Linked DNA regions of Diceros bicornis minor. The protein of the gene in region 1 purifies or fractionates together with the protein of each later gene. This does not show direct contact. Links are inferred from orthologs where the notes say so. Each region holds a gene or a part of one and is shown on either strand. Other genes may lie near its edges. The genes, in order: CDK16, CCNYL1 and CCNY.

Region 1 (10,565 bases):
CCATCAGGCATTCAACAAACATTTGTTGAGTGCTTAGTCTGTGCCAGGCACTGTTTTAGGCATTGGAGACAGCAATCGATAAAAAAGATCCCTGTCTTTTTTGGGGGGAGGGGGGCCTTATGTTCTGCTAGGGTGAGACCCAGAATAGACAGTAAACACAATAAATTCTATGTTAGAAGTTGATCGGTGCTATTGGAAAGGTCTATAGAGCCAGGTCTGGGGATCTGGAATGATAGGGGTGCAGGCAGGCATTTTAAAATAGGGTAATCAGGGAAGGCTTCACGAATAAGGTGACACTGAAGCAAGGACTTGGAAGTAGTGAGGGTATCAGGCATGTGGATATCTGGGAGAAAGCATTCTAGGCAAAGGGAACAGCAAGTGCAAACTCCCTGAGGCTGGACTGTGCCTGCTTTATTCAGGAACAGCTAGGAGACGGGAGTGGAGTGAGAGGAGGAAGGGTAGGAGATAAGATCAGAGAAGTGATGGACCTGATCATCTAGCCCGCGGTGGACTTTTCTTTGTCAAATATTTCCATTCCCATCATGGTCCGGTAAATCCTCGCTAGTATGAATCGTACTGAAAACTCTGGTGTGACCAAGGCCTCTATAAAGGGAAGCCCAGAAGAGGCGGGGAAGCTGGCTTTGGACTGGGGTGCAGTGTAAAGATGCCCCCGAATGCTGCCGCCATTTGTGCTGGGCTTGGTGTAAGCAGAGAGGGGTGAAGGATTAGGTCTGCCTGGCAGTGTTGACACACAACAGGCGCCCAATAAATAAAATAGAAAACCGCAGGGCCGGGGGAGCCACGGGCGGGGCTCTGGCGGGCAAGGAAAGGTAGTTGAGAAGTGGCAGGAAAACCCAATTCAGGGTGCTTACGCAAACGCTCGCGTGAGGCGGAGAAAAGCCACCCTCCCAACCCAAAGTCCCAAGCATGCGCAGTAATGCACTCGCCCCTTTAAAGGTCCGCCTTTCCTCTCTTCTCAGCCTAGGCTCTGCCCCGTGAGCCTCGCTGAGGGAGATGGGAGGGGGTTAAAGGCGGGACGAAAGGCGATTGAACGCTCTTTTGACCAATCATCTTGCGGGATATTTGGCCTATAGCGACAGAGGAGCTCAGAACAAAAAGGAGGGCCCGTGCCCCACGACGGTGAAAACCCATGAAAACCCGGCAGAGGCGTGGTAGGGGGCAGCGAAGTCACGCCTCTTCAGCCCAGCCACGCCCTTCATTCTTGCTCTGCCTCACCCAGGGTGCAAATCCGATTGGCTGGGCGACAACCTCAAAGGGCGGGGCCGCACACGTTCACAGTGGGAACCAGCTAGCGGCGGGGGCGGGGGAGAGGCAGCTGGGCGGGGCTAGATTCTGTCCTATCTAAGGTGGTAAAGGCCAATGATTCTCCAGGCCACCTCTCCTAGAAAAGTCATCTTCTCGCGAACCTTTAAAATTCCTGCCTCCCGAGGCACCTCAGGAGACTGGGACTGACTGCCTCATCTGTCTTTTTCCTCCTTGCAAAAGTCCCGTTTGCCACCATGGGGATGTACCAATTGAGACCTAGTAGGGGGAGCGAGTGGTGACTGGCACGCTGGTTCCCGGCTGCTGCCCACTTCGGCGCTAGCAAACTTCTAGCAAGATCGAAACTGAGTAGTAAATAACCTCTACACTCCCTCCTGGTGCCGTTCCAGGGCCAGCGCCACATTCCCGGGTGTGCGCGCAATGGCCGCGCCCCCTCCCGCTGCGGCCGGGTCTTTTGGTACATGCAGTCCGAGGTGAGTCCCCTCCTTCCCACTTCACCCTTTCCAGCGTGTGCGTGCGCATGCGTGGAGCGCGACGCGCGCGGTGGTTGGGCTGTTGGCTGTTCGGCCCTGGGATCCGCCGCGTCTCCGCGAGCAGTCGGCTCTGAGCCGCGAGCCGCCGTGAGCTCTCGGATTCGAGCCGGCGCCAGCGAGCCCGGGGGCATCGACCGCAGCGGCCAAGCTCATGGCCGGCTGAGCGGGACGCCGCCTCCGCCTCAGCCACCGCCGCCGCCGCCGCCGCCTCCTCCTCCTCAGCCGGCGGCGGCCCGGGCCCAGCAGCCATGGCCGAAGACTACTGGGACGGGCGCCTGCGGCGAACAGGAGGAGAAGGAGGTCGCGCGGCCTCAACCCAGGCCGCCGCCCCAGGCGCCGCCGCGCCGGTCTCGCGGCGCTGAGGTTGCTCGCGCGCCCCCGCCGGTGAGCGCGTCCCCGAGACGTGGGGTGGGGGCTGCTTTTCCTCTTACAGAAACAACTCAGACACCGGGCGGTGCCCAGGGCTCTGGACTGCACCGCTGGCATGTGCCCCTTCCTCCAGCGAATTTCCCAGAATGCACTGGGGCGGGGGGTCATTCGGGGCCTCCCTGACCTTGGCCCCGCCCTGGGCCCGGTCTGGGAGCTGGGGATGGGCAGTACCGTGGGAGCTAATGGGGAGCAGGGTGATCGAAGGACCAGAGGGTGTGAAAATGGGTGGCACAGTGGTAAAAGACTCCAGGTTTGCTAATGGGAGTCGGAGCATGTGGTAATAAGTCTTACCGCTGTGTAAGGTTTGAGGCCCAGTGTGTTCTAGTGGGGGTGCAGTGCAGGGCGGTGGAGGGACCCGAGGGAGAGGATGTCAGAGGAGTGCTGAGACATGCAAATGGAGTTATAGCTGTAGAGAGGCCCTGTGTGTGTTAATGGGGGATAGGGTGGTAGAGGTACCAGAAGGTGTGCTACTAGGATCAGAACTCTGAGGCCCTGTGTGTGTGATAATGAGGGTCAGGATGGTGTTAATACTGTGTATTTGTCCATGAGGTACTGCAGCGTGTGAGGGTCCAGAGTGTGTTCACGAAGGGCAGGATAGTGGAAGAACTCATGTGTTGAGAATGTGCTAATGAGGGGTCATAGTTGTAGAGGGTAGGCGCATTTGGTAATAAAGGTCTGGGTAGTATGAGGCCCAGTATATGCGAATGAGGACAGTGGTGGAAGGCCTGAGCCTGTGCTGATGGATATCAGAGTTGTGGATATATTGGGGGACGGGGCAATGGAAGAGAAGTGTCTTAGCACTGTAAGAGGTTCAATGTATTAAGGATCAAGATGGTATGAGATCAGTGTGTGTGTGTGTCCATGAGGACAGAGGATGTGAGATTCAAGAACGCGCTAAGAAGGGGTGGGGTGATATATGTAGTTCTAGTGACTGCTAATGTTGGTTTAGAGCCATGGAGGTGCTTAAGTGTGTGCCAATGGGAGGAGAGTCAGCAGTATGAGACCTGGAATATGCTAATGAGCGTCAGAACATTGTGAAGACGGGTGTGTGTGCTTGTGTCTATGGGGGACTGGGGTGTGTTGAGGTTCCAGGGAGTGTTAATGGGTAGAGCTGTGGAGGGAATCTAGTGTGCAATAAGGAGGATCAGGGCTGGGAAGGGGTCCAAGTGTGAACCAACGGGGGTTATAGCTGTGGAGGAGTTGAAGCAAAGAGAAATGAAAGACAGGAATATGTGAAGGTCTAGGTGTGCTCAGGTGGATTAGAGCCATGGAGGGCTGACGTGTGTGCTAAGGGGAGTCTGGGCTGAATCAAGACCTTTGTTCACTAATGAGGGTCAGGCCATTATAGAACAGTGTGTTTGTGTGTCCCCGGGGAATAGGGCTGAGTAAGGGTTCAGGGTGTGCTAATGGGGAAGGCACTGTGTGAGGCCCAGTGTGTGATAATAGGGGTCAGGGTGAAGTGAAGGTCCAGCTTGTGCTGAGGGGAGGCGGTGTGGGGTGGGGGCAGGAATAGGGTAGTGAGGAGACCAGAATACATGTTAATGATAGTTATAGCTGTGGAGGGGTCTGAGTGTGGGCAAAAAACAGGTCAGGGATCTTCAAGGTTCACTTTGTGTTAATGGGATTCAAGGCAGTGTGAAGGTCCAGTGAGTGCTAATGTGGGTCAGCTGTAGAGGGTCCCAAGTGCATATTAATAGGGGTCAGAATCATGTAGGGGGAACAGTGTGTTGATGGGGGGGTGAGTGCTGTGGAGAAGCTAACAGGCGGCTGGACCTGGGAGGTGCCCACAAATGGTGGTAAGAGTTAACTTAGAGGGGCCTGAGTGTATGCTAATGAGTTGAGTGTTCTGCTGGGGCTTTGTATGCTGATGGATGTTAGAGATAAATAGGGAAATTGCAGGTGCTGATAGCAGTTCAAATGCAGAGAGGACTTCTGAGGGCCCAGTGTGTACTGAAAGAAGCAGAACACTGTGAGGGTCCAGTGTGTGCTTATGGGAGTCCGGACAGGAGGAGGATGGTGTGTTCCTGTGGGAGTTAGTCGAGTGGGATGACTGTGGCCTCAGTGGTGAGTGTGGTGTGAGGTGGTGAGTGTCCTTGGGTGTGAGAGTATTCTAAGGGTGGTTACGTGTCCTCGGGGGTCAGGAAGCATGTGTGCCCTTTTTTGAGTGGAGTTGTATCCAGTTTCTTGCTCCCTCTTTCACTATTCTGAAATCTAAAAAGCTCAGAAAAGTGAAACGATACTATTTAAGTTTTACTGCATGTTAATGTTCAAGTGTCTCTGTTCACAGGGGCTGCCCAGCGCCCCCCTGCTGGGGGTGGTGCATGATACACAGATTTTGTACTCCATCTTCCTAAAATCCCCAAAAAACTGAACTCTGGAACGTGTCCAGCCCTTGGGGTTTCCAGTTAGAGGTCATGGACCCATGGCTCTTTCTGGCACCCTCCTCATCCTCGATCTAGCCCTACTTACAGCCCCCTCCAGATCCCCCATTCCCTGCTACAACAGGCAAAGCGACTGGGTATCCGTGCCATATGGACACAAGACAGTCTTTGGGGGCTGGCCATGTTTCACCTTAGCCTCAGGTCCAGTGTTCAGCCTCCTGGGTCAGGATTTTGTTGTTGTTATCCTGGGTTCTCTGGATGGACCTCATCCTCTTTACTGAGGTCTTGCTAGGCTGGCCCCCTACCCCTCCTGGGGGTGGTGAGGTCAGGCAGGGGGTGTGGGGACCTCTAGGGTAAGCATCTGATTTCAAGGTAACAGATGACCCACTTCTCTCCTCGAATCCAGCCCCAGCCTCATCCTCGACCTCCTATCTAGCTCCACTTCCCTTGGGCCCAGGGCCATCTTAGGCCCTGCTGTGAGTCCAGATGGTTCCTGGGCCAGGTCTTTCCCCCTCCTTGCTGGCTCAGAGCCCAGGAGGAAGCAGAAGAAGGCCGGCCTGAGCCTTTTGGTGGCCGTGTTCCCTCTAGCAGCCCCATCTAGGTCATCTGCTGATGCTAGTGTCCCTGGGCCACCTTGTCTGGGGTTGTTCATGAGTAGCAGGGACTCAACCCTGCTCACTTTGGTAGAGGTTAGTCCTAGGCCTTTAGCCCCCTGATTCATTAATTTCTGCCATAAGCACTTTTTGAGCATCTACTCTGTGTCAGTCACTGTTCCAGGTCCTCAGGATATAACCATGACCTAAACAGAAATCTACCTTGGCGGAGCTGATCTTCTAGTTATGGCGGTGAGGAGACAGTAAAGAATAAAGAAGCCAATAAGTAGATGGTGTTATTTCTGAGGAGGTGATGAGAGCTGGGGGGAAAATTGGCAAGGTGAGGGACCTCAGGATTGTTGAGATTTTAAATAGGGTTATTCATGGAGGGTTATCCATAGAAAAGGTGGTTTTTGAGCAATGACCTGAAAGGGGTGAGAGAGCGAGCTATTTTGAAATCTGGGGGAAGGGTATTCCAAGTACCCGGAATAGCCGGTGCAAAGGCCCTGAGGTGGGACTGCTGGGTGTGCTTGCAGAACAGCAGCTAGCAATGATCGAGGGGGAGGTGACACTAGAGAGGTAATAGGGGTGAACGGGATAAGACCTTATGGGCCACATTGAGGACTGGGATGTTTATTTGGGGTGATAAAGGAGATGTGCATTCTCAAGTAGAGGAGAAATGTGACCTGGCTTATAAAAATCTGGGTGGCCTATGGGTCCCCACCTGATTGAACTCTTCCAGCAGCCCCTCAGGACAGCTGTTGTGCATTGAGATCCCCCCACAACCCCACCCAGTGGTTGGATCTGGGCAGGACCCCCCCTCCCTGCACCCCTCACCTGGGTAGACCAGTGGAGTAGTCCACTAGTCACCGTGACGATGGTTGCTGGGGGAGGCGGGAGAGTCCTTGTGGCTGCAGGGAGCATTCTGCCTTGGCAGTTGAGGGTGACGTGGGGCTGGTGCCAGCGGGACATGCCATTCTATGGGCATGCCCGGGGCCGTGTCTGTGGTCCCTCGGTCCTGGGCGAGCCCCCCGCTCCACCCATGGCTGAGTCCATCGCTGCCGCTGCACCCAAGAATGCCTGCTGTGGAGCCCTCTGCTCCCACAGTGAGGCTGCCCCCATAGAGGCCAACACTCCACCGGTTGGGCCCTTGACCTCAGCCAGCCACCCAAGCCTCAGTACCCAGGTGGGCTACTTAGGAACAGGGTACCCAGGGGCTGGCCATAGGTGAGCAGTTACTGGCGAGGGTCCTCATCCATGCCAGGCTTCCAGGAATCCTGAGTGATTCCAGGGCTCCACAGTGGTTGGGTGGGCATTGACACAAGTTCACGTCAATGTGCCTTACTAGGTTGTCATGGGTTTTAGGAGGCCCGTGGTGGTCAGGCAAATGCTAACATGGGACCCATTCCCATCTGTACTCCCTGCTCAGGTCGCCATGGATCGGATGAAGAAGATCAAACGGCAGCTGTCCATGACACTCCGAGGGGGCCGAGGTGTAGACAAGACCAATGGTGCCCCGGAACAGATAGGCCTGGATGAGAGTGGCGGTGGTGGTGGCAGTGACCTTGGAGAGGCCCCTACACGTGTCGCCCCTGGGGAACCTCGCTCTGCACGGGGCCCGCTCAGCTCTGCACCAGGTGGGTCCACTGACCACTCCCACCCCCAGACTGGTCCCCAGGTGCTGCCTCCCAGCTGAGTTCCTCTTAGACTTGTGTTATTTTCATTTTCCTTTCTCCATTTTCTCCCCCTTCCCTGCCATCCTCTCTCAACACCGTCTCTTTATCTGTCCATCTGTGCCCCTTTCCTTGGCTTTGTGCCCAGGCCTCAGCAGGAGGAAGGGTGCCTTGCCTGCCGCAGCTGCCCCAAGCCTCCCTTTGCCCTTCTCCTGTGCTCTGCGATGGCCCTCTTAGGTCTCCTGGCTCCTGCCTACCCTAGGCCTGCCTTCCCAGGGCCTTTGACTACCTCTGCTGCTGCCTAGCCCCTGGCTCCGGGCCAGCCACAGTCTCAGCTTGCCCCTGGAACAGGGTGCTCCACTAGGTGACTGTTGCTCCCCCCCCATTCAACCTGTCCTGACCTGTCAACCTCTCTGGGCCTTGCCACCCTCTCCCTGAGGGTCTCCAGGCTGCTCCAGGGGCCCTGTGCATACATGTGTGATGAGGGAATGTGTTCTGTGGGAGACGGGGTGTCCTGGGGCTCCTGACCCTGCCTGGCCTGCCCTCCCCCTGTCCCCACTACCAGAGATTGTACACGAGGACTTGAAGATGGGTTCTGACGGGGAAAGTGACCAGGCTTCAGCCACGTCCTCGGATGAGGTGCAGTCGCCAGTGAGGGTGCGCATGCGCAACCATCCCCCACGCAAGATCTCCACTGAGGTGCTTAACCCCCTGTCTGGATGGTGGTGGGGCTGGAAAAGAGTTGGACCTGGGGAGGTGGAGCTCATGGTCCCGTTTCTTCCCCATCTTGCCTGCTAGGACATCAACAAGCGCCTATCTTTACCAGCCGACATCCGGCTGCCCGAGGGCTACCTTGAGAAGTTGACCCTCAATAGCCCCATCTTCGACAAGCCCCTCAGCCGCCGTCTCCGCCGTGTCAGCCTGGTGAGCATCTGTTATTCCTGTCCTCTCCTCCTCCTCCTCCCCACCCCCACCCCCACCCAGTCCCCTCCCCTGAGCCTGCTTCAACCAGCCTCCTTTACCCCACAGTCCGAGATTGGCTTTGGGAAACTGGAGACCTACATCAAGCTGGACAAGCTGGGCGAGGTGAGGAACAGCCAGGAGGCCCATGGTGGGGATGGGGGCCAGGGGGAACTCCCTGTAGCCTCAAGCTCCTCTCCTGTCACTCTTCTTCACACCCCAGGGTACCTATGCCACCGTCTACAAAGGCAAAAGCAAGCTCACAGACAACCTTGTGGCACTGAAAGAGATCAGACTGGAACACGAAGAGGGGGCACCCTGCACCGCCATCCGGGAAGGTACAGACATCCGGGAAAATCTGCCCCAGGCTTCCCAGGCTCTCTCCGTGGCACAAGCACTCACCCCCCATAGTGAGAACAGAGACTCGAGGGTTCTGGGACTTCCCGACACTCTGAGCTTCGTGAGAAAGTGCCCATCACCCACATATGTAGGTAATAATCAAGGTAACCAGGAATCTCTTCCTGTTTGGAGAAGAGGCAGATGAATTGGAAAGCAGTGTGCTTGCTTTGGTTCTAAGAGCACCCCTGAAAGTGCTCACCAATTTACTGACACAACAGTTTCTAGTTAGACTGTCACATGGAGTGAATTTGAATTGCATAAAAATTGAGTGTGCAAACTCAGTTTCACATGAAGCTGCAGGCTTATGTACTGAGGGTTGGAGCAAGGCCCCTTTCCAAAAACCAAAAACGGATTGTGACAATCTAGTGTCACATAAACCTGGGGCTGCAGTCCCAGGTTCTTGCTCTGTACTCTTCTCTGAGCTTTAGTTTTCACATATGGAACATGGGGACACACCTTCCTGGCATTGGGTGGGTTAGAGCTGGTGGCTGTGAGCCGCCACCCCAAACTGCACTGGGAAAGAAGGAAACCCTGGGCTCATCCCTGTCTGGTCCTCGTCCTCGCCTCTATCCTGAGGGTGGGGCGCTGACTCTTCCCCTGTCCCACCCCCATGTTTCCTGCAGTGTCCCTGCTCAAGGACCTCAAACACGCCAACATCGTCACTCTACACGACATTATCCACACAGAGAAGTCACTCACCCTTGTCTTTGAGTACCTGGTAAGGTTGGGTGGCAGTGGGTCCCAGGGGGAGGTGGGGAGATGGCCAGGAGCCACAGGATGTGACCCTCTTTCCTCTACCTGCTCTTCTCTCCTTAGGACAAGGACCTGAAGCAGTACCTGGATGACTGTGGGAATGTCATCAACATGCACAACGTGAAAGTGGGTGTGGGGCAGGAAGCAGGGGCACAAGGGGGCCCCCACTCACCCACTCTACCCCACAAATCTCCCAGAAACGGTCTTTTCCCGTTTGGCTTTTTTGCTGGGAGCCCTTGGAGGGCATTGGGACCCTGCCCTCTTTTGTGAGACAAGGCCCTGGGCTCAGTGTCTGTGTTGGGAGGGGGAGCAGTGCCTGTTGGGTGTCAGGCTGCTGGATACTCTTTGACCTCTGCCTGCATTCCTGGGTCCCCAGCTGTTCCTGTTCCAGCTGCTCCGTGGCCTGGCCTACTGCCACCGGCAGAAGGTGCTACACCGAGACCTCAAGCCCCAGAACCTGCTCATCAATGAGAGAGGAGAGCTCAAGCTGGCCGACTTTGGTACCCCTGGTCTCCCCCTTTCCCATGACCACCTAGTCTAAGTCCCCTTCAGCCTCTCCAGGATTTGCTTAGGACGCCCTCAGTACCAACTGCACTCTCCCCCAGACTTCCCAGGACCTCCTCAATTCCAGCTGCCCCTTCTCTCCACCTACCAGGCCTGGCCCGGGCCAAGTCAATTCCAACAAAGACCTACTCCAATGAGGTGGTGACACTGTGGTACCGGCCCCCTGACATCCTGCTTGGGTCCACGGACTACTCCACCCAGATTGACATGTGGTGAGGACAGGTGGAAGTGTGGCAGGGGCCATGTGGTAAAGGGGGTGGCTCAGTCACAACAGCCAGCCAGCCGACTGCCTCCCTCTTCACTGTGCCCTCCCTGCCCAGGGGTGTGGGCTGCATCTTCTATGAGATGGCCACAGGCCGGCCGCTCTTCCCGGGCTCCACAGTGGAGGAACAGCTGCACTTCATCTTCCGCATATTGGGTGAGGAAACACAAGCCCTAGGAGCTGTGGAGACATGCATGGAGACCCTGTGAGATGCTTAGGGTAACTCCTCTTCCCTTCCAGGAACCCCAACTGAGGAGACATGGCCGGGCATCCTGTCCAATGAAGAGTTCAAGACATACAACTACCCCAAGTACCGAGCCGAGGCCCTTTTGAGCCATGCACCCCGGTGAGGCTGGTGGGTAGGTGGGTGTTAGGGGCCAGAGTGCCCAAACTCAATTTAAAGCAGGTCCCCTTGTTCTTGTGGTAGACTTGACAGCGATGGGGCTGATCTCCTCACCAAGTTGCTGCAGGTGAGACCATCTTCCTGGGCCAGCCTTGGGGGCTAAGGGATTCCAGGTGTAGGGAAACGGAGTTCCAGGGGCAGGGTCTGGAGTGGGGAGGAAGAGAGGCCTACTCATTGGAGGTGTCAGTATTCCACACATACACCCCCGCCCCCCACTCAGTTTGAAGGTCGCAATCGGATCTCCGCAGAGGACGCCATGAAACATCTATTCTTCCTCAGTCTGGGGGAGCGGATCCACAAACTTCCTGACAGTGAGTGGATCTGGGGAATG
Region 2 (9,878 bases), on another chromosome or scaffold:
TGCTCAGCAGAGAGGCCAAGGCCTTAGACTCCCAAATGCAATCTAAGTTGTTGTTGTTGTTGTTTTTTAAGTGTGCTTTCTATTCAAACTTGTCTCTTGGACACATTTCCTGGCCTCTACATCCATGCCGTTTGCTGTCCTAATCCCTTCTGATAGAAAAATTCTAGGGCTACTTCAGGGTGGCCGCCATGGTATGAGGATAAAAGTTGGTTTGTCTCCACAATAGGGCAATAGAGTCATCACAAGGATAGATCGTGTCCTAAAATCTACGAGCTTTGTTTCTAGGGTACAGACTTGGTTTAAAAAAACTTCAAACTTTTCCCTGCTGTCAAATTTAATGAAAGTCCTCCTCCTACAGCATTTCTGACATCAGCTGGATTTCAGGAGGCTGCTGTCAAACAGGCTACTAGGAGGAGCTGACGGGAACATGTGGAATCATCATGAGAAAATGGTTCTAACTTCAGTAAGGCAGCTTGGCCAAGGATTCCATTTTAAGAGAGTGAAAGCTGACACCTTTTAAAGGTACCAAGATACCACACAAGTGAAAGAAGGGGAAAGAGTGAAACATGGAATTGTTGGAGAAAAGGAGCATTGGCATGACTAGGAAAAAACAAAAGCATTTAATGTGTTTATTATCCTCTGCTTTGTTCCAAAGAGGAGTTAGCAGTGAGTGTTTCCTGGGTGTGTGTAGAGGGCAGCTCTCTTAGGAAACTAGTTAAGTGCACACCCTGTGGAGCTGGGAATAGAGCTGGCATCTGCTTTAGAAAAGCAGGAACAGGGCACTCCCAGAGGAGGAAGGCTCTCCACACCCTTGGAGGTGATGAGGCCACACTAGCAGTGGCTGAGAAAGAGTTTAGATCTCCTACAGCATGTAGACAAATGGATCTGGAAGCAAATAAACCATTAAACAGAGAAGAGTAGAGGCCCAGGAAGGCAAAGGAAAGTCCAGTCTCAGAACTGCAGGCCCTTCCTAGAATTTGTCTCATAAGATGCCCTGTGGTTTGGAACTGTAATGACAGTGGATATTGGGGTCAGAACTGACCTGTCCAATGAACATTAACTGCCCTAATGGTATGGCAAACTAACACCATTTTTATTGTTTTCAGAGCATTATGTCAAATAAGTTAATATTCTCATCTCACCCGACTCAATTGGCAGAAAGAAACCTATATGCTATGAGGAAAGAAGGTGAGAGAATAATTCAGAAGGCGTGTAAAGAGACGGGTGGAAGAAGCACTGAACAGTTTCCTAAAATGTGAGTACCAGCACCATTGAATGCTCCACTTACTGAGAAATCTGGATTATAATTTTCTGAAGTTGGAAATCAGTCGTTTCATGTCAAATCAGGTATAATAGTGGTTCTTAACATTTTTGTTCACATATACCTTTGAGAATATGATGATAACGATAGACTCTCTGCCCAGAAAAAAATGTACATATGACTTACACACAAAAATCCTATTCTATAAGAACTAGTCATAATACTCAAGATGGAACCCAATTAGTCACAACTCACATATAATATATAATCCTGATCACTTGACTGCCATAAAATCTTTCTTGCATCTAATCTAGTTTAATTCTATACTTTAAGCCTCTCTCACTTTTTGTCCTCTAACTTTTAAGAAAAGATCATTACAGCACTCCTTGTATAAGTTTTCCATATTTGCTTGCAAAGGGCTACGAAATTGTATCACGATCATTCTTTAAGTTGAAACTTCCCTAATCTTCCCTTACAGATTGTGGTATAGCACTCTATGCCACAATCTGTGCCTTCCATTACCTAGTACTCCGTTCTACAGTAGTTACTGAGCTACATGATTACATTTCCTGAGCCTCCCTTGTAGCTATGTGTGGCCATGTGACTAAGCTTTAAGCCAAAGATATGTAAGGCATTGTGCTATGTGGATCTTCCAAAAAATCTCCCTTTGTCTCTTCCTCCACTCTGCTGTCTGGAATGAAGATATAATAGCTGGAGCTCAATAGCCATCCTGGGCCATGAGTCTGAGGTGTGACGGTCAACACTGTCTGTTGACCTCCCTACTAGAAGATAAATTTCATGAGAACAGGGATCTTGTTTATCTTGGTCAAAGGAACATCCCCTGCACCTAAAAAGTGTGTGACATGTGGTAAGGGCTCAGGTATTGAATGAATAAAATGAATGAGTTTACTCCAGGCCCATGTAAAACACTAATCATCAAGTCCTCCCAGGGGAAGTTCAGCCATAAGTAGGCATATGCAAGATCTCAAGTTCTGTCACAGAATCAAACTGTGGCTTAATTCAAACCACATCACTCCTATTTGCTTCACTTAGCTCTCCCAGACTGGCCACTGTCATAGGACAGGGCTTTTTCTTAATGCTCTCCAATGCTCTCTTCGAACAAAATATTTTCAAAACAATGCTTCCCAATATTTTTCTGCTTAGCAAGTTTAAAATTCTTTAATTTTCAAGGTCATGGGTATCTATTTTTGTGTGTGTCTGTTGTTAAATGCAGGCACTATTTTGTAACTTAATATTAGGCATTGTTTCAAGTCTACAAGAATCATCCAAAATGGTATCTAATAACATTCCTTGGACTTCAGATGGTATCATTATTATCACAGAATGCAGTCACTAGGTCCTAAGGATTTAACAGGATGTCATTCACTGAAACTGAACTTCACTGAATCCTTTCCCATTCCTGTTTCCCACATTTCAACATATTGCCTATTTATTTATTTATTTTTGGTGAGGAAGATCAGCCCTGAGGTAACATCCATGCCAATCCTCCTCTTTTTGCTGAGGAAGACTGGTCCTGGGCTAACATCTGTGCCCATCTTCCTCCACTTTATACGGGACGCCGCCACAGCATGGCCCGACAAGCGGTGCATCGGTACGCACTTAACCAATACGCCACAGGGCCAGCCCCAATATATTGCCTATTTTTATCCCCAAACCTTACTTACATCTTTTAAACAATTCCATTAAATATTAATCATCCCTGCTTCCCTGAGTTTTGAGGTGACTTTCCTCCTGCTATCCTTCTAATAGAGAAGAACACAACTTTTGGCCCCCTTTTGATCCCTTATGTGACTAAAGGGTTGTGAATATTCATACTTGTTGCAATTACATGTCATTTTCTTCTTAATTTTGTTTTTACTTCTCCCTAAAAGTTGTTGCTATTTCTTTTAACTATCTGGGGGAAGTAATTAGCCCCATCTTCTACTTTTGTGATGTATCTATTTATACTAGAGCTCCTTGGTTTTTGCTCAAATTTCTCGTCAATTTATCCACCTTTGAGGGAAGATATCATTTGATTTTTGTTAGGTATTACCAAGCTTTTCTGAAGTGTAGACTTCTCTACACATTATCCTCTTTCCCACAGTAGCTTTCCAGATAGAGCTTATTAAAGCAGAAAACAATAGGACTTATGCCATGAGCTCTTCCTAAGCCTCTACTCTCCCAGAAACGTGTCTCTGGCCACACAGGTCCTCGCTCCCTCTGCTCTTCTGTCAGTCCAAGGCTAAGCTACCCCTGCTCTGGAGTGCATGCACTTCAGCCTTCTTGGGGACCTTGCTCTGTTAATTCTCCCTTCTCTTCTAACTTCAGACTTTTTTTTCTCCATTGGCTCTTACCCTTTAACACATAAATATACTCATATTTTTTCCCATCTTAAAAAATAAGCATCCTTAACTGTCCATCTCCCTCTAACTAGTACTGCATCTCTTTTCAGTTAAATGTCTAGGAGAAGCCCTCAGTCCCAGACTTTGCTTTCTCACCTCCTCTTCACTTCTTTACTCCCTGCTTGCCATCTGGCTCACACACATCCCCAGTCACCCGGTTGCCACAGCCAAGGCACCTGGAGCTTTCCTGCATTTGACTCTGTTCAGGGGATCCCGTATTGAGTTCCCACCGGCTAGGCCCTGTACTAGGTACTGCCTGTTACAGAACCCAGAGGCAGAGGTAACCCCCACCCTCCTGGGACTCCCCTGATCAGCCATTCCTCATTACCACTCAGTCCCTGGACTTCCACTGCTCACCTTTGCAGTCTTCACAGACGTGCCACCTCAATCTCCCTGTTGTCTGAGTCTCCTTTCTTTCTTTCCTTTCTCGTTATACCTACCCTCTCAAGGCAATCACTTCTGTACCATCGTTTCAGTTACTTTCTACACACTCTAAAAAAATACAATTTCAAACGTTGTTTTCATTGAACAGTTTTATTTTACATAGGATGCCTCATTTACTAAAACCATAGATTCCAAGTTGCTCCATGAAAATAATCATTAAAAAATGTGATATTCTTTGCATAACAACTTTAGGAAATTTCCCCAATTACTTTTTCTGGTTTGATTTAATATATGTGTTATTTTCGAAAACTTAAGTTGGGATATCACAAAACGGACTTAGTCAAAAGAGGTTTATATCCAACTTTCAACCAGAGAGCTCCATTTCAACGGTCCACTTGGAGACGAAAATGATGTCCACTCGCCAAGCCTACTCCTGTCCTGCCTCTCTACCCAGGAGAAAGTCACTACTGCCCACCCCGTCCCCAACCAGAGCCCGGGCGGCCGTGCCGCTCCCCTCGCGTCTCGGTCCACATCCAGTGTCCAGCTCTTCCCCGGACGGTCTCGGGTCCTCTCCCTCCGCGTCAGCCCGCGCCGCCCCCAGCGGGGCCGCTGCTCTCCGGGGTGGACGGAGGGGCTCTCCGCCGCTGTCCTGGCTCCCTTCGCTCCTCCACACCGTGGAGTGACCTCCCTACACCGTGCGACAGGGACTCCTCGACCTCGCAGCACGCGGCCGCTCTCAGGTCTCCGAGATGCGACTCGACCCCTTTGCCCAGCGCGCTCTTCGGGGTCAGGGGCGCGAGGCCGGAATCGCGGGCTGCAGCGCTCTCCGGCGGTGGCCTCGGACGGCGGGACTCGAGCCCCGTGCCCCCGTGCCCCGTGCCCCCGTGCCCCGTGCCCCCGTGCCCCGTGCCCCCGTGCCCCGTGCCCCGTGCCCCCGTGCCCCCGTGCCGGAGCTCGCGGAGGCAGCGTCTCGCCCACAGGCCGGCGCGCAGACCGCGTCGAGGGAGGGACACACCTGGCAGGCCACCGGAGACGCGTCCCTCCCGGAACACCCCGACGGCACTGTCGCCTCCGCCCACGCCGTCCTTCCGCCTGCGTGTCCTGAGGACGCCGACGAGGCGCCGCGGGGACCCACACCTGGACCGGGCCCGGCCGCACCCCAGCGGCCAGGCGGCCGTGGGGGCGGTGCTGGCGTCCGTTTCTTCCGTAGAGGGAGGCGCCTTCCGAGGGCCGAGTGAGCGCCCGCTGGGGCGCGGCGGGGCCCGCCCGGTGCCGACCGTCGTCCCAGCTTCCGCACGGGAGCGGGGCTGTGCCCCTCTCCGGCGCCCCATTTTCTAGGCGCGGGGGGTGAAGGGGGCAGGCCGGGCCTCCTGCGCGGAGGAGGAAGAGCGGCGGGCAGGTCCCGCTCGCTGGGCGGTGACGTGTCCGAGTCCGTCCGCACGGCCGCAGGCGGAACCGGTGGTTCCGGTTCTGGACCGGTGCTGCGGCCGAGCTGCGGGCGGAACCAGCGCTGTGAAGGCGGGACCGGGAGCGCCTCGTCACACAGCGGCCACCGAACGTGTCACCAAGCCCGGGGAGCGGCGCGTCAGGGCAGCCGCTGTCGGAGCCGGGCTGCGGGGCCGCTCACGAGCCGGCCCGGTAGCCTCCATGGAGCCCGTTGTCCAGACCAGGGCGGCCCCCCGAGCGCCCCCCGCCCGCCGCCCCTGCAAGGCCGGCGCCCGCGCTGGGGGGAGGCCGGCACCGGCGCTGAGGGACCCCGCTCCCGCGCCGCGCGGGGCGGGCGGGGCAGCGCGAGGGGCGGGGCGCGGCGGTCACGTGCCCGGCTGGGAGGCGGGCGCGTGCCGGGAGCTCGGGCATGATTGGTCGGCCGTAGCCTGGTGACCGCGGGGCGCGCCGCGGTTGGCAGCCGCCGGGCGAGCGGCCTCAGTCGGGAGGCGGCGGCGGAAGGAGGAGGAGCTGCGGCCGCGCTCTCTCCCGGCAGTGGCTGCGCCTCCAGCGCCGGTCGGGTCCCCACCCCTTTTCGCTGAGCCGGCCGGTCGCCGCCGTCCGCTCTGGTCGTTGCGGGGCGGCGGCGCGGGGCGGCGGGCTCAGCCCTGCCCGGCCGGCGCGTGGCGGGCAGCGGGCGGCGGGCGTCGCCGGGGCCAGGCGGCCGCGCCATTGTGGGGGAGGGGGCGCGGCGAGGCGCGGGCGGCCCATGGGCAACACGCTGACCTGTTGCGTGTCCCCCAATGCCAGCCCCAAGCCGGGCCGGCGCGCGGGGCCGGCGGCGCGGGACTGCGGGCCCGAGGGCTACGAGGCGGCGGCCGGGGACGCGGCGGCGGTGGCGGCGGCGCCCGCTGCGGTGGAGCCGGGCGAGGCGGACCTCGGGGCGGGCGAGGGCCACCACCTGCAGCACATCAGCGACCGCGAGATGCCCGAAGGTAGGCGGCGGCCGGCCCCGCGTCCACCGCGCCCTCCCCCGCCCGCCCCACGGCCCGCCCGCGGGTGGCCGCCGTGTGAAGACCCGCGGGGCCTTCGCCCCGGACCCGGACCCTGAGGTCCCGACCCGGGCGTGTCCGCCCCGCCCCGGGGTCCTCGGCGCGCAGGTTCGGTGGAGGGGCCGCGGAGAGGGCGGGGACCTGGGTGGTCCGTCGCCCCAGAGGCGCGTCGCTCTTCCCGACTGCCGCCAGAACACGGAAGGAAGGAGCACGGGGAGAGCGGGCTCAGCGCGGCCGGGGCGGCCCCTCTGTGAGCGGGGAGCGCGGCCGGCCCCCGTGGAGGGCCCGCCGGGGCCGCGCGGACGCGGGCCGGCCCCTCTGTGAGCCGGGAGCGCGGCCCCGACACCGCCGCTCCGAGTTTCCCGAGAGCGGCCTCCCGCTTTCTGGGTGGCGGAGAGGTCTGGGAGTCGGGGTGCCGGGCCCTGCGCGGGCATGTGTGTCTCCGTGTCACCCCGTCCCCTGCTCCTGCCCGCAGAGTCCCGGGCAGCTTGAAGAGCGCTGAGGAGAGAGTTCTGCAGACGGAGCGGCCGGGGGCGGGGAGGGTGTTTCGATTTTTGCGTCTAGAATTTTGGAAAGAGATGAGTCTGGGTAAAAATAATTCTGGATGACAGCGTGGCTCTTGGATGAATACTGTGTTTGAAATAGGAAACATCGGATCGTAAAGCTGTTAAAGCCCGTGGGTCCGTTTGTTTGTTTTTAAATGCCAGAGATTATTTCATGGAGGAAAAGTCGTATAGCTCCTCCTCTGTTTCAACTTTAGTTGGGCTCTTAATTTCTTCAAAAGTAAGAATAATTAAGCCTGTGAGTTCACCTATGTGATGGTCGTGGCTTTGTAACTGGGAAATACTCCCTTTTCAGATATTCAAATATTGTGAAAGAATGAGCAAATTATGTGAATTAATTAATTGTACCTTAAATCACAAAGCCTGTAAGGACCTGTGAAAACTTCTGCTCTGCCTGGGTCTGTAAGGTAAGCCTCTGAGTGGTGTTTACAGACCAGTTAGTAGATGGGCAGTCTTGGATGAGAGACCAAAAGAGGACCTTTATATAGTCCTTTAAGATTTATGACACGTTTTCGTGTGTATATCTCATTTGGCTCCTCCAGCTACAAATAAGGTCTGCGTGTATTCTCTGTATACAGCTGATGAGAAAACTGAGACTTAGAGGTCTGAAAAGTCTGTATAACACAGCTCCTGAGCAGAAGAGAATGACATGGAGGTGGTAGACATGCCAGATTCAGTTCTCTTTAGAATGCATGTTATATTTTATAACATCCATAAGGTAGGCCTGTCTTACTCCAGGCTTATTTCCATTCAAGGTTCATTGTGCACAACTCAGAAGCCACAGTCACCTCTCCATCCTATGTCTATAAATTCATTACAATGGATAAGAATAAAAGTAGAAATCATGAACTAGCCTAAATTTACCAGTCAGGTAAACAAGTGGATATATTTTAGAGTTTGTTCTGGTGACCTCGAATTGAAGCTAAGAATCCCCTGGACAGAGGAACATTAGGAGAAGCTGGTAAGAGGGCAGATAAGGTGCCAAGCATTAAGCATAGGACTATGATAAGGAGTGTTAAATCAGAAAAATTGAAAAAATATAGTTCATGAGTACAGAATTTACTTTTTTATGTTTAAGATGATAGTTAAAATTTCATTTCAATTTGTCTTTTAAAAAACCTTTTTTTGGCATTCAATCAAGTGATAAGAGAAACCAGTTTCAGCATTTGCCTGTTAAGTTTCCATGGAAACAAGGTCAGACCACCAAAAATAAAGTAAGACACACTGAAAGTTTGCTTTTAATGTCTTTATTTCAGACAGTTTTATATCAGTTTCCCTGGAAACTGAGAAATACCTATTTAGATGTAAAACATTTTGGCTCTTGTACAATGAAGAATTGAGTTATTTGGTTACTTAGACGAAATCATACATAAATGATACTCTGCCTTGTTCTTCTGAAACATTTCAGAAGAACATGACTTCTTTGAGCCATTTCGAAGAGCTGTTTCTGTGAACCTAGCGTAGGTTCCAGATGGACTCACAAGAGTTTTTCTGCTACCTCGCCTTTATCTAACAGTGTATCCAGTATAACCCGTGGTAGTATCAATAACAAAATAAGACGTGAGGTTCCTCTTACCTAATTTTATTATTACTCACCAACTGTTCATGCAGACCTTTGTGTTTTGACCTCAGGAGCTTTGCTAATTTGCTGGCTAAAGGTGCTCTCTCAAGTGACCCCTTCCTCCCCCTCCCACTGAGTGAGTAGGGAAGGAATTGGCAATATGATGTGGAAAAACCTCTGAGCAATGGATCTTTCCTCTTTCCGGTAGCTATTTTAAACCTTTTTTTTTTTTTTGCTTTTTTTGATAATAAATATTTGATGGAAAAGATTTAGAAAATACAGAAAAGTCATTCACTCATACTCAGAACGTCCAGAACTTTTATAAATATTTTGGTGTTGATTCTTCCTGAACCTTTTGTATGTGTATAAACATAACATTTTATTTTACAAAAATGAAATCACTCTTTATGTGCTGCTTTGTAACTTTTTGTTATGAAGAGAAGTAATGATATAAAGCTCCTGGAAGTGTGCTTGACACCTGGAGAGTGCTCCAGGATGTACTTCCATGCAACTACATGTAGCTCTGCTACACACCTCTTGGTAACTGTTTAGTGTACCATTGAACGGTTGGAGCACCATTCATTTCCCCACCCTTTATGGTTGGGCCTCTTTTATACTAAAATAGCACACAATCCCGTTATAATTCTTCATTCTGGGGGTACAGGTAAAAACTGATGCATTGTACCTCCCTGTAGGGTTCAGATGATATACTTTGTCTTATGACAATTAAATACATAGAATGAGTCATTTTATAGTTAAGGTATTTTAACATTAAATGTTCTTATCCCAAATTAAAATTATCATTGATTTTTCACTGCACCTTAGAATTCCTCTTTTAGGTTTTTGTGGTTCTTGGTAGCCTGTTCGTGTTTTTAGTTCTGAATAACTACCACTCTAAGAGATCTGAAAGTAATGCTGGTCTTAGATGACAAATCAGATGACAGCATTAGAAGAAATCTTTGAAGATGTGGGAAAATTGGGAGAAACATAACGGGTACTGGGTACACTGAAACAGTGAGATGTTTATTGGGCACGTTCCAGATGCAGGACGAACAGTGGTATACAAGACAAAGCCCTTACCCTAACTCAGGTCCTTGCATTCTAGAGGGCCCTAGGAACAGACAACATATGAATAATCAAGAATGTCAGGCAGTGAGGTGCTGGGAAGAAAATAAAGGAGGGTAGTGCACTGAGGAGGGGGCAGTTTTACATGGGGTGGTTAAAGACAGC
Region 3 (9,828 bases), on another chromosome or scaffold:
GCTGTTCCCAGGGATCCCAGGGCTATCTGCATGTTGAAGTACAGCTGCAGAGTGTTTGGGGTTCCTTGGAGGTTAAAAATGTGAGGTAGAGGCAATAAGTTAACACAACTCATCAGCTATCCTTGTTGTACTTTTAAAATGCTGTTGGGTTTTTCACGTTGGGAACCGGGTCTGAACTGGGACCAGTTAACTAAGATAAAGGTGGGTGAAGACGCCTGGGTTGTGGGAGGCATTCCGTAAATTCCCTGCCAACACCACCAATGCCAGCCATGTTGGAGTAGAAAGACTCCTTGCCCGTGTTGGGAAGAGTCTAAGGTGGCAGAAACAGTGTTCCCACCCCTTTTCCAGTCAGTGGAGGAGTCATGAAGAGGGTCCAGGAGATTCAATTTCCTGGGTCGGGTGGATCTTCAGCACACAGACCAGGGCATACTCATGGGTTTCCTCTCACAGGAACCTTTGGCTCTAGTTCTGGGAATATTGAAGGATCTGTATTAAAATAATGTATCAGGCATTTAATTCTTTTAATTTCCATAGGGACTAATCTGCCTTTTCGAGGAACAACTTCCTTTTGACACCAAAATCCTACCTTGGCCTGCCTGTGGCATCTTCCCATTCCAACCTGCTTCTACTATGGGGAACCAAGTATATATGGGTACCCCATGGTTCTAGATCGGAGTCCCTATTATCTGGGGGTCAATCAGTGAAAACTGACAACATGAATATATAAAACTGTATCAGAGGATAATATCAAATCCTGGCCAGATCAATAACTTGGGAGTTCAAAATAACAGTGGTTGATACAAGTTTCTCATGTAAAAGAAGAGTACAGAGACATTACCTTAGTTCATGGCTTCCATCTTTAAGGTCACCTGGTTTTCAAAAGTGCATGCTAGATCTAATTCCAGCCATCATGCCCACATTCCAAGAAGCAGAAAAGAGGAAGCCTCTTCAGAGAGCTTTCCTGGAAGATTCTGCTCACAGGTCATTGGCCAGACTTAGTCACGTGGCCAGCTGTAGTCTTTGAGGTGGGCATACTGCTGGCCCTCACAAAATGGAGGGCCTGGTACTAAGGGAGATGGGAGAATAGACACTGGGTAGTGAAGCAGCTGCCTCTCCCAATCTGACCTGTGAGATGCTGGAATTCGCCTTATCAAAGGCACATCCTAGCTCTCAGAGACCACACAGACATTTACCATGTCTGTTCTTGGTAAGCAAGGAGGGATCAAGAAGATGGAGTCTGGCAAGAGAGAGATTGTACTTAAGGCTATTTAGCACGGGGACAAGTGTGAATTCTCAGTGGTGAGGCAGAGAAAACAGTTTCCAAGTGGGCCTTCGCCCAGATACCTAGTGACTGTGGCTGTCCCCTCTTCGTTGTTTACTCTGTAAACGAGGGTTTTACTCACGGAGAGGAAATGTGTGCCACAAGTGCCATCTTCTCCTCCTCCCTTCTTCACGGCAGCGTTCTTCCCTCTTGAGCTGGAACATGACCTCAGAATCCTTCTCAACACAATGTTTCTGGCAGTTACTCTGCTCCAAAAGACTTGGCATTGGTGTTTAAATCTACCAGCCATCTTTAATTGCTTCTGGAAATTTTCGTTCCCACAGAATCTCTGGGTATAATTCTTTACTTCATAGGAATAAATACCATCTATTTATTCCAATCATCTCATCTTTTGACTGTGTACCTTACTGGACTATGAGTTTCTCTAGGGTGAGAACTATCTCTTATCCATTTTTGTATCCCCAGGGTGCCTGGCTCAGTACACTTTCAAGAAATGTTTTATCAATAAGTGAATCACCTACATTAGTCAAGGTCAAGTGGCTATCAAAGTAACTACTTCCCCGATAGCTGGTTATGCTGTGGACTGCTTACACTGAGGACTAAAGGGAGGCCTCATTTGGTTGGGAGTCACAGGAAAATAAGAGGGGTGCAGGAAGAGCACTGGAGCACTGGTGGTACACAAAGGCCCTGGTTAGTCCACAACTGCCTACACGTGTTTAAGTAACTGACACAGGAAACTGGCTACCAGGTGATGAGGAAAGGGCACTCTGAGTAGGTTCTTCTGAAACTCCAGCCATTTTCCTTCTTTTTTTTTTTGGAGGAAGATTGGCCCTGAGCTAACATTCGTCCCCATCTTTCTCCACTTTATGTGGGACACCTGGTACAGCATGGCCTGACAAGCAGTGGGTAGGTCTGCGCCCAGGATCTGAACACGCAAACCCCAGGCTGCTGAAGCGGAGCGTGCGAACTTAACCACTATGCCACCAGGCCAGGCCCTCCATTTTCCTTCTTTTGAGCAAAGGTCCAGGTCCTGGGTTAACGGCTCAGTGTTTTCTGAGTTCTAGGGAGATGTGCAGATGACTGATTCATATTTCATGGATATGAGTGTGGCTGAAGGAAGACTGTGATTATGCTCCCCCTGATTCAATGAAGGCAGCCTATTCTCTCTTTTTTTAAAATTTTTTTGTGAGGAAGATCAGCCCAGAGCTAACATCCATGCTAATCCTCCTCTTTTTGCTGAGGAAGACCGGCTCTGAGCTAACATCTATTGCCAATCCTCCTCCTTTTTTTTCCCCAAAGCCCCAGTAGATAGTTGTACGTCATAGTTGCACATCCTTCTAGTTGCTGTATGTGGGACGTGGCCTCAGCATGGCCGGAGAAGCGGTGCGTCGGTGCGCGCCCAGGATCTGAACCTGGGCCGCCAGTAGCGAAGTGCGCGCATTCAACTGCTAAGCCACGGGGCCGGCCCGAAGGCAGCCTATTCTCATTGATTTGTTTCTATAAGTAGATCTTATAAATTAATACTGATATTGCTTATACGTTTTAAATATTTTGATTCCATTGAAAATTTTGTTTTAAAAAAAGCTATGACTGCTAAAAAAAAAAGTTTGAAGAGCACTGCCTTAGCTAGTTTGCACAAGTTCCATATTTACCTCTTTACAATAACCAAAATCTCAAATCGTGCTTGTGAAGAAAGATGAAGGAAAATTATTCCCAGATGTTTCTTGCTGCTCAAAGAGCAGGCTGAGGTATGAGTAGATCAGGTTGAGTCTTTCTGAGCAGGCTGAACGTTTTGAGGACAGCTTCCCTCTCCCCACCAGCCCCAATCCTGGGCTAGATGCACACTGAGGAAGGGTCCCTGCATTCACATTTCCACGTGATACAGTCTCAGAGATGCTGTGACTAAATGCAGATGGTATTTTTGCGGAACGTCTCTCTTCGACCTTGCTGCCTATCTACTCACTGTGGTCAGGAGGGCTGGGCCCCACAGAAATAAAAAGGCTCCCCTCTCTTCTTCAAGTCTGGAACCAGTCCTAAGCAGTCTCTCAGAAAGAGAACAGAAAAGAGAAGAGGAGAGAAGCAACACTTGTCTCTTTTCCACTCAAAACATTTGTGGATTTCTTCTCTCGTTACTCTAATTTGCTTCCCTGCTCCCCTCTGTTCAGTGACACCTGGCGGTGGGGGCAGCTGAGAGGGGGCCTCACAGACTTTGTAATGGGAACCAAGGTTCAAATCCCCAGGTAGGCCATTTCTCAGTAATCTGACTTTAGACGAGTTTAATTATCAGAATTAAAGTGTCTTTATTTGTAAAATGGGAGATAACAGCATAGGATTAGATGTTAAGAAATGCTCAGCATCTAGCAGGTGTTTCATAAATGACACCGTCCATTATCATCCTGGCATCACACTGCCTCTGCAGCCTTTCCTAAAATGTCACTGTGTGTCAAGCAGGACGCATCTCTACCTGGAGGAGTCTGAAGTGTGTGTGTATGTGTACAGGGGGTGGGGTGGGGGGTTGGCACCCAGGTAAATCACTGGCGAGGCTTCAGCACTTATCTCCACCCCCCAGGCCTGTTGACCAAAAGTCACACTCCTGAAAAACCCAACAGGTACATTCCTAAAGGGAACATGGCAGGAACTTCAAAGAGGGGGTGGGTGTGGTGGGGGGACAGAAAAGTCCCTGCAGACGAGCGGGGGTCCCCTCCTCTGGCAAGAGTCTGTGGCTACCCTTACCCCCAGTCGCGTCTTCCCTCACCTCCAGATGCTCTTTCCAGTTAACACTGCCCGATGACCCGCCACAAGTGCCATGCTGTCTCTCCCGGTAAGCCCTTCAAATTATATCATTAACACAAATATTACAAATTTTATGATGAAATAAAAATGACAATGCGCCGGCGTAGGTATGTTCGGTGATTGGATGCTTATAGCGCCCAAATTACAGGACAGCAATCAGAGCAGACGATCGGGTCACCCCTCTCGGCTCCTCAGCCATCTTACCCACACACCGCAGCCCTGAAAATCTGAGTCCACACATTCCCGGACTTGCAGTTCCGCCCCAACCAAACTTCCCTGCAGCAATGACAGACCGCATTATTTTGTCTGTCCGCTACCTCCCCGCCTCTTCCGGGCCGCAGTTCTCGGGAACTTCCTTCGCGTTTCCCCCCTCTGGTCCGCATGAGCACTGCGCTGCCCTGTACCTGGGTTCAAGGACGCCCACCACTTAGCCCACCGAAGGGCGTTACTGCGGTTCAGGTCGTGGAGCTTGTTAAAATACGGACTCATAGATGTATAAACACTCCCGCCGGACAGAGGGAGAGCACAGTGACAGAAAGGAGACACGTCAAGAATCAACGGAAGTACCGTGTATGAAGCCTCTGGCAAGACACCTCCACACCGCTGACGCTCGACGCACACCGTTCCCTCACTCCTTTCTCCCCGCGCCTGTCGCCACACCAGGCCTGAGGCCTTGGGTCCATCAAGGCACTTCATCTTTCTGGACCTCAGCTTCCCTATACTTACAATTAAGGGGAATGTACCGGCTCTGTCGTGTTCAAACGCCCCCTCCCCCGAGCCCCTCCTCATGACTCCCTCAGTGACCATCTGGAAAGGGGGGACAGGTCGTTTCCGCCACCTTACACTCTTCCCAAGGCAGGCGGGAGCCAACAGTCTTCCCGGCCGAGCATGGCGGGCGCGGGGGCGTCGGGAGGGAAGCGGAACCCACGATTTTCTGAGGATCCCCCACGAGCCAGGCCCCGTCGCGTCCTTTCCCTCAGTTAAGTGGCCTCAGTTCAGACCGCTCCCGGCCCGACAACCCCGACAGCATTTTAAAAGCAAACAAGGACAGCTGACGCTAAGTTACCTGTCTCCACCTCACATGAACCTCCAAGGAACTCAAAACACTGCAGCTAAGTCGACATCCCAGGAGCCCAGGGCCCCAAGATTTACTCCAGGGTTAAAACAAGGGCCCCGTCAAGTCCTCGGCAAAGCTCAAAGCAGAAGCAAGAACTCCCAGTCAACGTCCGGCTTCCTTTAAAACGTTTAAGAGAAAAAAGAAAAAACAGCCCCTCCCGGGAGCAGCAGGGGAGGCTCGGCGCCCCCAGGCCGCCCGGCCCCGGCCCCGGCCCCGGCCCCGGCCCCGGCCGCGCTCGCCGCTGCGGCCCCGCGAGCGGGGGCGCACGGCGCTCTCGTCACAGCGTCGAGCCGGGGTGGCCGCGGAGACCGGGGAGGGCACCGAGACGCCGGGCCCCCCTGCGCGGCGCCCGCTCATCTGCTTCCAGGGCAGCGGGAAGAGGCGGCGCCGGGCGGGGCGGGGCGGGGCGGCGCCGGGGCGGGAGGGCGAGCATCCTCGCTGCCGCACCGCGCCGGGCCCAGGGCCGCGCCACGCCCGCCCGCCCGCCCGCCCGCCCGCGCGGACCCGCGCCCGCCGCCTGAACCGGAACCTCTCGCCGAGGCGTCGCAGCCGCCGGGGCCGGGCGCCGGCCGGGAAGCGCGGGGGAGGCGGCCTGCGCGGCGCCGCCCGCCATGGCCGCGGCGGGCTGAGCGGGGCTCGCGGCCGCACTCGCGCGGACCGGGCGCTCCTCGCGCGGACAGGCCCCGGGCAGGGCGGGCGCGCGGAGGCCGAGGGAGCCAGGGCCGCCGCCCGCTCATCGCCGCCGCCGCCGCCGCCGCCGCCCATGGCGAGGCCCCGCCGCCGCCGCCGCTGCTGACCCGGGGCCGGCCGCGGCTTCCGCCCCTCCCGCGGCGGCGGGCGGGCGGGCCTCCCCTCCACGCCCCCGCCGCCCGCGCCCCGCGCCGGGCCGCGGAGGAAGGCGAGCGCCGCTGGAGCCGGGGGCCGCCGAAGATGGGGAACACTACCTCGTGCTGCGTGTCGTCCAGCCCCAAGCTCCGCAGGAATGCCCACTCCCGGCTGGAGTCCTACCGGGCCGACACGGACCTGAGCCGCGAGGACACGGGCTGCAACCTGCAGCACATCAGCGACCGGGAGAACATCGACGGTGAGCGCGGGCGGGCGGGCCGGGGCCGCCGCGCCCTCCTGACCCCGCGCCCCGGCCCGGCTCTTTCGCTTTCTCAGCCTGCTCCGGCCCCGTCCCCGGGCGCTCGGCCCCCGGCCGCCCCTGGCCCCTGGCTTGGACCCCCGAGGGAGCGGCGGGGGGACTCGGCCGGCCGGCGGCCCGGGAGAACCGCGGGTGAGGGTCGGTGGGGACGGCGCGAGTGGCCGGGGCGGGGGCGGCCGGGGGCCCGGGTTCCAGGCTCTGTCTATCTGATCACAGCCACAGCCGAGTTATGCGCGAGAAGGGTGAGCTCGTCTGCCCTTTAAAAGGCAAAGGGGATGGATTATCCCTGGCATAACTGAGGAGCGAATTCCCATTTTGGAATCACAGTCTCTACCTAGTGTTGGAGAGCAGGGTTGGCCTGTGTCAGCGCCCCGGAAACTTACAAATTGACCCCACTTGGCTGTCCGCCACCCCCATTTCCGTTAAAAACGAAAAAAAAAAAAAAGGATTTTTGGGAAGTTGAGAGATTGGAGGCAAATAGCCTCACCTGAATGCTTTTAAAAAATTTCTTTAGAGTATTATCAGAATGGTTTGGAGACAGCTTTTGGTTGAGTCACCTCGTTTTTGCTTAGAACCGAATTACAGTCCTGTGAATTTCTGAGCTGAGTGACTTGGTTTGGACTAGTGTTTGTAAAGGAACTTAACGGACTGATCACTGCACCTAGTAATGTTTATTTACTTTATTGGTCTTAGAGTATCTGTATTAGTACTGTTATATCAATAAGCTACGTGACTGAATATCTACAGATGGGTAGTTTATGCATCATGCCTGAAATACAGTTTACATAATTCCCAACTTTAAAAAATTTGAAATTGGAAATATATTTTTATGACAACTTGATTTTTCTTTTTTTAACCCCCAAATCTTCTCACAGTTGATGTAATTGAACTAACCTGAATGTCGTATGAATGCATTGACACAACTCGATCATAATTCATTGTTGTTGACTTTAGGATGGAGCATTTCCTCTGACTTTAGGTGGAAAGCCAAATTTAAACTCTACTAAAGGAAAGAGTTTTTTCATTGTTTGGCCTCCTTGAATTTCTTCTGAATAGTAATTGTATCTCTATAGGACAGCACCTTTATTAAATGAGTACCATATATGAAGAGACTGACACAACATTTGGTTTGTAGTAGGCGCTCAGTAAGTTATGGTTTGGTATGACTTTTCTAGTGTTGTTATTTTAGACTTCCATTATCTTAACCTACTCTTTAGATGTTTTTGAACTACAGCCATGCTTTATTTTTAAATTCATGCACTTAAAGGCATCTAGAAGGATATTAAGGCCAGATCTGTTTTGATCACTGCTGTAGTTCCAAGCACCTGAAAGAAGTGTCTAGCATATAAAAAAGACTTAAGTGTAGTATTTTAAAAGAATGCATGAATAAATGAGGTTATTATAGAAAGCCATTACCCAGTCTTATACAATGTTGACAGGCAAAAACATTTGAAAATAATTTCTCCTTTATGTTGGGCATGAATACTGGGTAGAGGCTTTAGGTTTAAATACTGGATTTAAAAAATACAAAAAGGAAGAATCACATTTCTTAGAGCCAGGCTGCAGGATGTTATTGACTATAGTAAGAAAAACAGGGAAAAAAAAAGTAATTGTAACCAGCTGTATGGCACTAAGGATTAGAAGGATTTTGCCAGAGAAAAATAGAATAGTATTGTGTGTTCTTTCATTTGAAAGAAATCTAAGTTTTGGTCATCAGTCATTTTTGAGAAAACATTTGGAAGTCTACCAACTCTTGTTTTGGAGATGCAGGATAGTTAAAGAGACTATAGGGCAGGTTAAGAGGATTTCTAATCTAGGCTGTAGTATCCTTTCACCCCAGAACCCAGTTCAGATGAATGCTAGTTTAAACCTGGAAATACTGATTCACCATTTAAGGAATGCTTTCTCTCTCTCTCTCCCAAATTCGTTAAGTAACTCTTCTAGGATTTACCCATCCAGCAATTCTCAACGTTGGTTTCAATTAAACCAGAAATCTAGGGCTAGGCCTTGGCATTAGTATGTTTAAAGCTCTTCAGGTAGGATACAGCCAGGGTTGAGAATCACTAGCTGGGTATGTCTTGGAAGTGTTACCTGTTGTTCAGGGACATTGTCGGTGGAAATTCATTCAGTGTCAGGCTGGGAGAAGTGAACAGATTTGTTTAAATAGTATATAGATATATATCTATATTTTAATTTCTGAGTTATTTTGATTGTTAGATGATTAGTAAACATTTTCAAACTACATCTCAAGAATCCTTGATTCTTGATTCTAGTCTGTAACAAAAGCTGAAGTGCTCAAATACCGTCTTTCTGATATCCTGGAAAACATCCCAGACAACTAGAATTGAAAGGTCAGAGAAGCAGTTTTCAGTAGTAGATTTCACTATATGAGATATTTTTCTCAACTTATACCTTAACTTTTCAGTCTAATTGGCAAGTAAGTTATCCCTTACCTCACCTGCCTCCAACGTACATGCCTGCTCAAGAGGCTGTTCTGTTCTTCTGCACTCAGAGGCTCATAATCAAGGACAGAATTAAAATGTCTGTGTTGATGCTACTCTTTCCTGAATCGTGATAGGTCAGTTTGTTAAAATCACAGAGACATGAGGTATGTAGCCGTGTTTTCCATGCCCAGACACACAGTGGGTGATGTTTGTTCTGTAGAATTTCCATGACTGAGCTAGGGCAGTTGGGCTTCCATGACACCTACTGGCAACTTGCCCTGTCTTTGTACTTAGGGTACCTTAGTGTTAGGTTGTTCATGTTTTTAAGATTTATATTAGACTCCTCAGCTCCCCAGGTATTATTTCTCATAAAATCATTCCAAGATTGAGAAGTAACAAAAGCATTTAACAGCGATGATAGTAACAGTTGCAGCCCTTATATATTGTCCACTCTGTGCTAGCTGCTGCTCTTGGTGCTGGATATCTCTTCATTTAGTACTCACAATAACCCTACGAGTAGTAGTATCCTTACTTTAAGACAAAGGAATGAGGCAGAGAGAGGAGAAATGACTTGCCCAAAGTCATACAGCCAGTAAATGATAAATGGAAACTGTTGTTGCTTGACTAGCCATCAAACGTTAACTAGTCTGGGGCTGCTTCTGGGGTAGGGTGTTTGTCACTGTGGTCATATCTGTAGTTTCTCTGAGAAGGAACTTCGCTATCCGCAACAGGCTGACTGCCCTGATTAGATTGTTTCTGTGGGAGGAGAAAAAGAGAGATGGACTAAAGAGAATTTAAGATTCGATGAGACCAAATAAATCGGGATATCTGTAACATGTGTACCGTAGTGTCAGTTTGGGGTTTTGTCTCAAAATGATTGATAGCAACTTCTTCCTTTGTAGATCAGCCGTCGTCCTTGGCAACCCAATTTCTCCCTCATCCCGTGTCCAATCCGCTAGAAAAGCGTGACTCTCTACGTTCAGACTAGATCCAGAGTCTGACCACTTCCTACAACCTGTCCTGCTGCCCTTCTGATCTCAGCAGCCAT

The links.
Region 2: the proteins of CDK16 (region 1) and CCNYL1 purify together in Homo sapiens (affinity purification with mass spectrometry; 4 studies listed by BioGRID and IntAct, counting the BioPlex papers as one, with this or other methods). This does not show direct contact. The link is inferred for Diceros bicornis minor from reciprocal best matches to the Homo sapiens genes CDK16 and CCNYL1.
Region 3: the proteins of CDK16 (region 1) and CCNY purify together in Homo sapiens (affinity purification with mass spectrometry; 3 studies listed by BioGRID and IntAct, counting the BioPlex papers as one, with this or other methods). This does not show direct contact. The link is inferred for Diceros bicornis minor from reciprocal best matches to the Homo sapiens genes CDK16 and CCNY.

The regions. Positions count from the first base shown.
Region 1 is NC_080781.1:41,021,889-41,032,453, forward strand, and holds the start of CDK16 (cyclin-dependent kinase 16), read left to right. Parts: upstream 1-6,175; 5' UTR 6,176-6,190; coding exon 6,191-6,406; intron 6,407-6,649; coding exon 6,650-6,857; intron 6,858-7,458; coding exon 7,459-7,592; intron 7,593-7,691; coding exon 7,692-7,817; intron 7,818-7,922; coding exon 7,923-7,979; intron 7,980-8,076; coding exon 8,077-8,191; intron 8,192-8,875; coding exon 8,876-8,970; intron 8,971-9,068; coding exon 9,069-9,131; intron 9,132-9,381; coding exon 9,382-9,505; intron 9,506-9,660; coding exon 9,661-9,781; intron 9,782-9,889; coding exon 9,890-9,987; intron 9,988-10,071; coding exon 10,072-10,177; intron 10,178-10,237; coding exon of another isoform or gene 10,238-10,258; coding exon 10,259-10,301; intron 10,302-10,454; coding exon 10,455-10,545; intron 10,546-10,565. UniProt on the Homo sapiens protein: Protein kinase that plays a role in vesicle-mediated transport processes and exocytosis. Regulates GH1 release by brain neurons. Phosphorylates NSF, and thereby regulates NSF oligomerization. Required for normal spermatogenesis.
Region 2 is NC_080749.1:84,555,184-84,565,061, forward strand, and holds the start of CCNYL1 (cyclin-Y-like protein 1), read left to right. Parts: upstream 1-6,073; 5' UTR 6,074-6,241; coding exon 6,242-6,467; intron 6,468-9,878. UniProt on the Homo sapiens protein: Key regulator of Wnt signaling implicated in various biological processes including male fertility, embryonic neurogenesis and cortex development. Activates the cyclin-dependent kinase CDK16, and promotes sperm maturation.
Region 3 is NC_080775.1:33,110,477-33,120,304, forward strand, and holds the start of CCNY (cyclin-Y), read left to right. Parts: upstream 1-5,673; 5' UTR 5,674-6,122; coding exon 6,123-6,276; intron 6,277-9,828. UniProt on the Homo sapiens protein: Positive regulatory subunit of the cyclin-dependent kinases CDK14/PFTK1 and CDK16.